Linked DNA regions of Saccharomyces cerevisiae S288C. The protein of the gene in region 1 purifies or fractionates together with the protein of each later gene. This does not show direct contact. Each region holds a gene or a part of one and is shown in the gene's direction. Other genes may lie near its edges. The genes, in order: YEF3 and TEF1.

Region 1 (5,905 bases):
CTGACGAATCTCTTTCGGAACAAAGCGAGATTATCAGTGATATCCAGGATGACAGTACTGATGATGACAATATGGAAGATGAAATTCCGGAAAAATCCTTCCTCGAACAAAAGGAATTGATAGGTTACAAGCTGATCAATAAAATCGGTGAAGGTGCTTTTTCAAAAGTCTTTAGAGCCATACCTGCTAAAAATAGTTCTAATGAATTTTTAACTAAAAACTATAAAGCTGTTGCCATTAAAGTTATCAAAAAGGCAGATTTATCCTCGATTAATGGTGATCATCGTAAGAAGGACAAAGGGAAGGACAGCACTAAAACTTCTTCCAGAGATCAAGTCTTGAAGGAAGTTGCACTACATAAGACGGTTTCCGCTGGTTGTTCACAAATTGTCGCGTTCATAGACTTCCAAGAAACAGATAGCTATTATTATATTATTCAAGAGTTACTAACCGGTGGGGAAATCTTCGGCGAAATTGTTAGGTTGACCTATTTCAGTGAAGATTTATCAAGGCATGTAATCAAACAATTAGCACTGGCTGTTAAACATATGCATTCACTAGGTGTAGTGCATCGTGATATAAAACCTGAGAATCTTCTTTTTGAACCGATTGAATTCACACGCTCTATAAAACCAAAATTGAGGAAATCGGATGATCCGCAAACAAAGGCAGACGAGGGAATTTTCACACCAGGAGTTGGTGGTGGTGGAATTGGTATAGTAAAACTAGCTGATTTTGGTTTGTCTAAACAAATATTTTCCAAGAACACCAAGACTCCTTGTGGTACAGTCGGTTACACTGCCCCTGAAGTTGTCAAAGATGAGCATTATTCTATGAAAGTGGATATGTGGGGGATTGGTTGCGTTTTGTACACAATGTTATGTGGGTTCCCGCCATTCTATGATGAGAAAATTGACACTTTAACTGAAAAAATATCAAGGGGTGAGTATACCTTTCTGAAACCTTGGTGGGATGAAATCAGCGCCGGTGCCAAGAATGCCGTGGCTAAGCTATTAGAACTAGAGCCGTCTAAAAGATACGACATTGACCAGTTTTTGGACGACCCATGGTTAAATACATTCGATTGTTTACCAAAGGAGGGCGAATCTTCACAAAAGAAAGCAGGTACTTCCGAAAGACGCCATCCGCATAAGAAACAATTCCAACTATTTCAAAGAGACTCCTCGCTACTGTTTTCACCAGCTGCTGTTGCTATGCGTGACGCCTTTGATATTGGTAATGCTGTGAAACGTACCGAAGAAGACCGTATGGGAACACGTGGAGGATTAGGCTCGCTTGCTGAGGACGAAGAATTGGAAGATAGTTACAGTGGCGCCCAAGGCGATGAACAGCTGGAACAAAATATGTTCCAATTAACGCTGGATACGTCCACGATTCTGCAAAGAAGAAAAAAAGTTCAAGAAAATGACGTAGGGCCTACAATTCCAATAAGCGCCACTATCAGGGAATAGCAACTTTCCCTTCTGTTTCAATCTTTTTACCTATTCCTTTTTAAAAGATATATATACATTAAACTCCTTCTACAAGTATATATTTTATACATATCTACAGGGCGTATATATACATAACATTTTAAGATAAGCAAGTGAATGTTGATTCCCGTTTCTTAGTCAACACTTCTTTCTATTTTACCCGGTCGTTACCCTATTAAAAAAACAACTTACAATCATTGTTCGCCCCTTCCATACTTACTGCCACTCGCAAAAGGGCCCAACCAGGGCAATTACGTATCAAAAAATCATGACAGGCTGGGTAATAAATATTCGTGAAGAAAGAAGAAATTAAAAAAAGAAACGAAGAAGCAAAAAAAAGAAAAGACTCCGTTTAATCACTTTCAACCGCGGTTTATCCGGCCCCACCCATGCATAACCCTAAATTATTAGATCACTTAGCACGTGAAAAAGAAACGTTTTTAATGTTTTTTTTTTTTTTTTCTTTTTCTTTTTTTGCGTTGGTGAAAATTTTTTCGCTTCCTCGAGTATAATTATCTCATCTCATCTTTCATATAAGATAAGAAGTTTTATAAAAACCTTTTGCATCAAAATTTTGTAGAATATCTCTTTTTCTTACGCTCTCTTTCTTTCCTTAATTGTTTTCTAAAGAACCGTGTATTTTTCTAGTTCGAATCCATCGATAACATTAAAAGATGTCTGATTCCCAGCAATCCATTAAGGTTCTAGAAGAACTATTCCAGAAGTTATCTGTTGCCACTGCTGACAACAGACACGAAATCGCTTCTGAAGTCGCTTCTTTCTTGAATGGTAACATCATTGAACATGATGTTCCAGAACACTTCTTCGGTGAATTGGCCAAGGGTATCAAGGACAAGAAGACCGCTGCTAACGCCATGCAAGCTGTTGCTCACATTGCTAACCAATCTAACTTGTCTCCATCTGTTGAACCATACATCGTCCAATTGGTTCCAGCTATCTGTACCAACGCAGGTAACAAGGACAAAGAAATTCAATCTGTTGCTTCCGAAACTTTGATTTCCATCGTTAACGCTGTTAACCCAGTTGCCATCAAAGCTTTGTTGCCACATTTGACTAACGCTATTGTCGAAACTAACAAATGGCAAGAAAAGATTGCTATTTTGGCAGCTATCTCTGCTATGGTCGATGCTGCTAAGGATCAAGTTGCCCTAAGAATGCCAGAATTGATTCCAGTCTTGTCTGAAACCATGTGGGACACCAAGAAGGAAGTCAAGGCTGCTGCTACTGCCGCCATGACCAAGGCTACCGAAACTGTTGACAACAAGGATATTGAACGTTTCATTCCAAGTTTGATTCAATGTATTGCTGACCCAACTGAAGTTCCAGAAACCGTTCATTTGTTAGGTGCTACTACTTTCGTTGCTGAAGTTACTCCAGCTACTTTGTCCATCATGGTCCCATTGTTGTCCAGAGGTTTGAACGAAAGAGAAACCGGTATCAAGCGTAAGTCTGCTGTTATTATTGACAACATGTGTAAGTTGGTCGAAGACCCACAAGTTATTGCTCCTTTCTTGGGTAAATTGTTGCCAGGTTTGAAGAGTAACTTTGCTACCATTGCTGACCCAGAAGCCAGAGAAGTTACTTTGAGAGCTTTGAAGACTTTGAGAAGAGTTGGTAACGTTGGTGAAGACGATGCTATTCCAGAAGTTTCTCACGCTGGTGACGTTTCTACTACTTTGCAAGTCGTTAACGAATTGTTGAAGGACGAAACCGTTGCTCCAAGATTTAAGATTGTCGTCGAGTACATTGCCGCCATTGGTGCTGATTTGATCGATGAAAGAATCATTGACCAACAAGCTTGGTTCACCCACATCACCCCATACATGACTATCTTCTTGCACGAAAAGAAGGCCAAGGACATCTTGGACGAATTCAGAAAGAGAGCTGTCGACAACATTCCAGTTGGTCCAAACTTCGACGACGAAGAAGACGAAGGTGAAGACTTATGTAACTGTGAATTCTCTTTGGCTTATGGTGCTAAAATCTTGTTGAACAAGACCCAATTAAGATTGAAGAGAGCCAGAAGATATGGTATCTGTGGTCCAAACGGTTGTGGTAAGTCCACTTTAATGAGAGCTATTGCCAACGGTCAAGTTGATGGTTTCCCAACCCAAGAAGAATGTAGAACCGTCTACGTCGAACACGACATTGATGGTACTCACTCTGACACTTCCGTCTTGGATTTCGTTTTCGAATCTGGTGTTGGTACTAAAGAAGCTATCAAGGACAAATTGATTGAATTCGGTTTCACCGATGAAATGATTGCTATGCCAATCTCTGCTTTGTCTGGTGGTTGGAAGATGAAGTTGGCTCTAGCTAGAGCTGTGTTGAGAAATGCTGATATCTTGTTGTTAGATGAACCAACTAACCATTTGGATACCGTCAACGTTGCTTGGTTAGTTAACTACTTGAACACCTGTGGTATCACTTCTATCACTATTTCTCACGACTCCGTTTTCTTAGATAACGTCTGTGAATATATTATTAACTACGAAGGTTTGAAGTTGAGAAAGTACAAGGGTAACTTTACCGAATTCGTTAAGAAGTGTCCAGCTGCTAAGGCTTACGAAGAATTATCCAACACTGATTTGGAATTCAAGTTCCCAGAACCAGGTTACTTGGAAGGTGTTAAGACTAAGCAAAAGGCTATTGTCAAGGTTACCAACATGGAATTCCAATATCCAGGTACCTCTAAGCCACAAATCACTGACATTAACTTCCAATGTTCTTTGTCTTCCAGAATTGCTGTCATTGGTCCAAATGGTGCTGGTAAGTCTACTTTGATTAACGTCTTGACTGGTGAACTATTACCAACCTCTGGTGAAGTCTACACCCACGAAAATTGTCGTATCGCTTACATTAAGCAACACGCTTTTGCTCATATCGAATCTCATTTGGACAAGACTCCATCTGAATATATCCAATGGAGATTCCAAACCGGTGAAGATAGAGAAACCATGGACAGAGCTAACAGACAAATCAACGAAAACGATGCTGAAGCTATGAACAAGATCTTCAAGATTGAAGGTACCCCTAGAAGAATTGCCGGTATCCACTCCAGAAGAAAGTTCAAGAACACTTACGAATATGAATGTTCTTTCTTATTGGGTGAAAACATTGGTATGAAATCTGAAAGATGGGTTCCAATGATGTCCGTCGACAACGCTTGGATTCCAAGAGGTGAATTGGTTGAATCTCACTCTAAGATGGTTGCTGAAGTTGATATGAAGGAAGCTTTGGCTTCTGGTCAATTCCGTCCATTAACCAGAAAAGAAATTGAAGAACATTGTTCCATGTTGGGTTTGGACCCAGAAATTGTTTCTCACTCCAGAATTAGAGGTTTGTCTGGTGGTCAAAAGGTTAAGTTGGTCTTAGCTGCCGGTACATGGCAAAGACCTCACTTGATTGTCTTAGATGAACCTACCAACTATCTGGACAGAGATTCTTTGGGTGCTTTGTCTAAGGCTTTGAAGGAATTTGAAGGTGGTGTTATTATCATTACTCACTCTGCTGAATTCACAAAGAACTTGACTGAAGAAGTCTGGGCCGTCAAGGACGGTAGAATGACTCCATCTGGTCACAACTGGGTTAGTGGTCAAGGTGCTGGTCCAAGAATCGAAAAGAAGGAAGACGAAGAAGATAAATTCGATGCTATGGGTAACAAGATTGCCGGTGGTAAGAAGAAGAAGAAGTTGTCTTCTGCGGAATTGAGAAAGAAGAAGAAGGAAAGAATGAAGAAGAAGAAGGAATTGGGTGATGCTTACGTTTCTTCTGACGAAGAATTCTAATCTTTTTGATCACTGCTTTCACAGTTTTCTTTAAGATTTTTATTGATCAATAATTTATGTATATTTTAATTTCTATGTTTTTGTAATATTGTTTATTTTGGTAAAATATAGACGCAACTTCCTTATTATAAAGAAAGGCATTATTTAAAAGAAAAAGCGTTCCATTAGTCAGACATCTTTTTTTTTCATACATTCTTAAGCTCAGGCAAATTGAGCATTGCCTCATACCCTTTTCGGTAAGAGGGTAACGAAAATATTTTTTTGGAAGAATAAAAATAGGTGACGGATCATAGACTAGGAAGCTTTAAAACATGATTGAGCGTAATATTATATTCCTTCTAGAAAAGATAAAAGAGCCAAGACCTAAAATTTTTTCATCCCTGTTCTATTAAAATTGTGGAAATGAGGTTTTTGAGGGGATTTGTATTTTCTTTGGCTTTCACTCTATATAAAGTAACTGCCACGGCAGAAATAGGATCTGAAATTAATGTGGAAAATGAGGCACCACCTGATGGTTTATCCTGGGAGGAGTGGCATATGGACCATGAGCATCAGCTAAAAGATTACACTCCAGAGACTTTCTTCGCGTTACATGATATCAAG
Region 2 (3,717 bases), on another chromosome or scaffold:
TTTGTGCGGTAACCAACCCAGTCACCGGATCATACATAGATCTATCACAGCTATCTTCAACTCCCAACAAATTAAGGGAGGGCCAAAAACAGATTTCTGGCAATAACAAGCATGAATCCTCCAAGACGAAGTGGTCAGTGAGAGGTTGGGGCTACGATACAAACTTCACGTTAGGCATCTGCTCTAGTCCTGTCGGAGAAGCTGAGTCGCAACAACTGTCCAATCTAACGGGCGCTTTTTACGTAGACCAGTTGAACGAAAATAATTTAGTATCGATTGGAGACTTCAGTACAAGGCCTGCGTTAGTCGGCGGCTCTACTGCCAAGAAATTAACTCTCAAATACGAAAACGGCTCTATGTGCCCGAACGGGAAGGACAAGAAGGCAACTTTATTGAATTTTGTCTGCGATAAAGAAATTCAATCAAAGGCCCAGATATCATACATTGGAAACCTACACAATTGCTCGTATTTCTTCGAAGTCCGCAGCATTCATGCGTGCCCCACCTCAAACAAAAAGAATGAAGTTAACGTTTTGGGTATCTTCATCGGTATCTTCGCTATATTCTTTTTAGTCGAATTTGCGGGGAGAAGATGGATCTATGCTAAACTAAATAGGCATTTGAAAAACGACGACGAGTTACACGACATATCGCCATCTTTAAATGAGCAACCACACTGGGACCTCATAGAGGACGGGTCTCGCTGGAGTAAATTTTTCAACGGGATAATTAAGACGACAAGAAGGTTCACGAAATCTTTAATGAGGTCTTTAGTCAGAGGCAGGAACAGCCGTCAAGGGGGCATAAGACTACGGTCATCCCCATCTGCCTCTTCGTCCAGCCTTGCCAACAGGGAGTTCTTCAGAGACATGGAGGCTCAAAACGAAATTATTGACAGCCTAGACATCAATAGTCATACAACAGAAAGCGACCACCCAACTTTGGCTGATAATAGCGTATAAACAATGCATACTTTGTACGTTCAAAATACAATGCAGTAGATATATTTATGCATATTACATATAATACATATCACATAGGAAGCAACAGGCGCGTTGGACTTTTAATTTTCGAGGACCGCGAATCCTTACATCACACCCAATCCCCCACAAGTGATCCCCCACACACCATAGCTTCAAAATGTTTCTACTCCTTTTTTACTCTTCCAGATTTTCTCGGACTCCGCGCATCGCCGTACCACTTCAAAACACCCAAGCACAGCATACTAAATTTCCCCTCTTTCTTCCTCTAGGGTGTCGTTAATTACCCGTACTAAAGGTTTGGAAAAGAAAAAAGAGACCGCCTCGTTTCTTTTTCTTCGTCGAAAAAGGCAATAAAAATTTTTATCACGTTTCTTTTTCTTGAAAATTTTTTTTTTTGATTTTTTTCTCTTTCGATGACCTCCCATTGATATTTAAGTTAATAAACGGTCTTCAATTTCTCAAGTTTCAGTTTCATTTTTCTTGTTCTATTACAACTTTTTTTACTTCTTGCTCATTAGAAAGAAAGCATAGCAATCTAATCTAAGTTTTAATTACAAAATGGGTAAAGAGAAGTCTCACATTAACGTTGTCGTTATCGGTCATGTCGATTCTGGTAAGTCTACCACTACCGGTCATTTGATTTACAAGTGTGGTGGTATTGACAAGAGAACCATCGAAAAGTTCGAAAAGGAAGCCGCTGAATTAGGTAAGGGTTCTTTCAAGTACGCTTGGGTTTTGGACAAGTTAAAGGCTGAAAGAGAAAGAGGTATCACTATCGATATTGCTTTGTGGAAGTTCGAAACTCCAAAGTACCAAGTTACCGTTATTGATGCTCCAGGTCACAGAGATTTCATCAAGAACATGATTACTGGTACTTCTCAAGCTGACTGTGCTATCTTGATTATTGCTGGTGGTGTCGGTGAATTCGAAGCCGGTATCTCTAAGGATGGTCAAACCAGAGAACACGCTTTGTTGGCTTTCACCTTGGGTGTTAGACAATTGATTGTTGCTGTCAACAAGATGGACTCCGTCAAATGGGACGAATCCAGATTCCAAGAAATTGTCAAGGAAACCTCCAACTTTATCAAGAAGGTTGGTTACAACCCAAAGACTGTTCCATTCGTCCCAATCTCTGGTTGGAACGGTGACAACATGATTGAAGCTACCACCAACGCTCCATGGTACAAGGGTTGGGAAAAGGAAACCAAGGCCGGTGTCGTCAAGGGTAAGACTTTGTTGGAAGCCATTGACGCCATTGAACAACCATCTAGACCAACTGACAAGCCATTGAGATTGCCATTGCAAGATGTTTACAAGATTGGTGGTATTGGTACTGTGCCAGTCGGTAGAGTTGAAACCGGTGTCATCAAGCCAGGTATGGTTGTTACTTTTGCCCCAGCTGGTGTTACCACTGAAGTCAAGTCCGTTGAAATGCATCACGAACAATTGGAACAAGGTGTTCCAGGTGACAACGTTGGTTTCAACGTCAAGAACGTTTCCGTTAAGGAAATCAGAAGAGGTAACGTCTGTGGTGACGCTAAGAACGATCCACCAAAGGGTTGCGCTTCTTTCAACGCTACCGTCATTGTTTTGAACCATCCAGGTCAAATCTCTGCTGGTTACTCTCCAGTTTTGGATTGTCACACTGCTCACATTGCTTGTAGATTCGACGAATTGTTGGAAAAGAACGACAGAAGATCTGGTAAGAAGTTGGAAGACCATCCAAAGTTCTTGAAGTCCGGTGACGCTGCTTTGGTCAAGTTCGTTCCATCTAAGCCAATGTGTGTTGAAGCTTTCAGTGAATACCCACCATTAGGTAGATTCGCTGTCAGAGACATGAGACAAACTGTCGCTGTCGGTGTTATCAAGTCTGTTGACAAGACTGAAAAGGCCGCTAAGGTTACCAAGGCTGCTCAAAAGGCTGCTAAGAAATAAGGAGATTGATAAGACTTTTCTAGTTGCATATCTTTTATATTTAAATCTTATCTATTAGTTAATTTTTTGTAATTTATCCTTATATATAGTCTGGTTATTCTAAAATATCATTTCAGTATCTAAAAATTCCCCTCTTTTTTCAGTTATATCTTAACAGGCGACAGTCCAAATGTTGATTTATCCCAGTCCGATTCATCAGGGTTGTGAAGCATTTTGTCAATGGTCGAAATCACATCAGTAATAGTGCCTCTTACTTGCCTCATAGAATTTCTTTCTCTTAACGTCACCGTTTGGTCTTTTATAGTTTCGAAATCTATGGTGATACCAAATGGTGTTCCCAATTCATCGTTACGGGCGTATTTTTTACCAATTGAAGTATTGGAATCGTCAATTTTAAAGTATATCTCTCTTTTACGTAAAGCCTGCGAGATCCTCTTAAGTATAGCGGGGAAGCCATCGTTATTCGATATTGTCGTAACAAATACTTTGATCGGCGCTATCTGTAATGGAAAAGAGAAGAAGCCTCTTGACTCACTATCCACTCGAACTTGGAAACAATGGTCGAAGATGCAGTATATGATACGACCTAAACCGAACGAGGGCTCAATGACATTAGGAATGTACTCTCGTATATGTTGCAAAGTTGTCTTCATTTTGATAGTAACCAAACTGCTATCTAGTTTTACGATCTGGCCATTTACTTGACAGGTAAATTCACCGTTCTTTTCCAGTTCTTCATGCCTCCTAATCAATTCATCCTGGGAAAATTTTGACAAAACAGATTCGATTAATTTTGCTT

Evidence for each region.
Region 2: the proteins of YEF3 (region 1) and TEF1 purify together in Saccharomyces cerevisiae (affinity purification with western blotting, with the first as the bait; 2 studies listed by BioGRID). This does not show direct contact.

The regions. Positions count from the first base shown.
Region 1 is NC_001144.5:634,613-640,517, forward strand, and holds YEF3 (translation elongation factor EF-3), read left to right. Parts: upstream 1-2,167; coding exon 2,168-5,302; downstream 5,303-5,905. Other genes in the region: serine/threonine protein kinase RCK2, read left to right, coding at 1-1,472; nucleobindin SSP120, read left to right, coding at 5,705-5,905. UniProt on the Saccharomyces cerevisiae protein: Ribosome-dependent ATPase that functions in cytoplasmic translation elongation. Required for the ATP-dependent release of deacylated tRNA from the ribosomal E-site during protein biosynthesis.
Region 2 is NC_001148.4:699,053-702,769, forward strand, and holds TEF1 (translation elongation factor EF-1 alpha), read left to right. Parts: upstream 1-1,541; coding exon 1,542-2,918; downstream 2,919-3,717. Other genes in the region: MRL1 (Mrl1p), read left to right, coding at 1-962; GRS2 (putative glycine--tRNA ligase), read right to left, coding at 3,062-3,717. UniProt on the Saccharomyces cerevisiae protein: GTP-binding component of the eukaryotic elongation factor 1 complex (eEF1). In its active GTP-bound form, binds to and delivers aminoacyl-tRNA to the A-site of ribosomes during protein biosynthesis.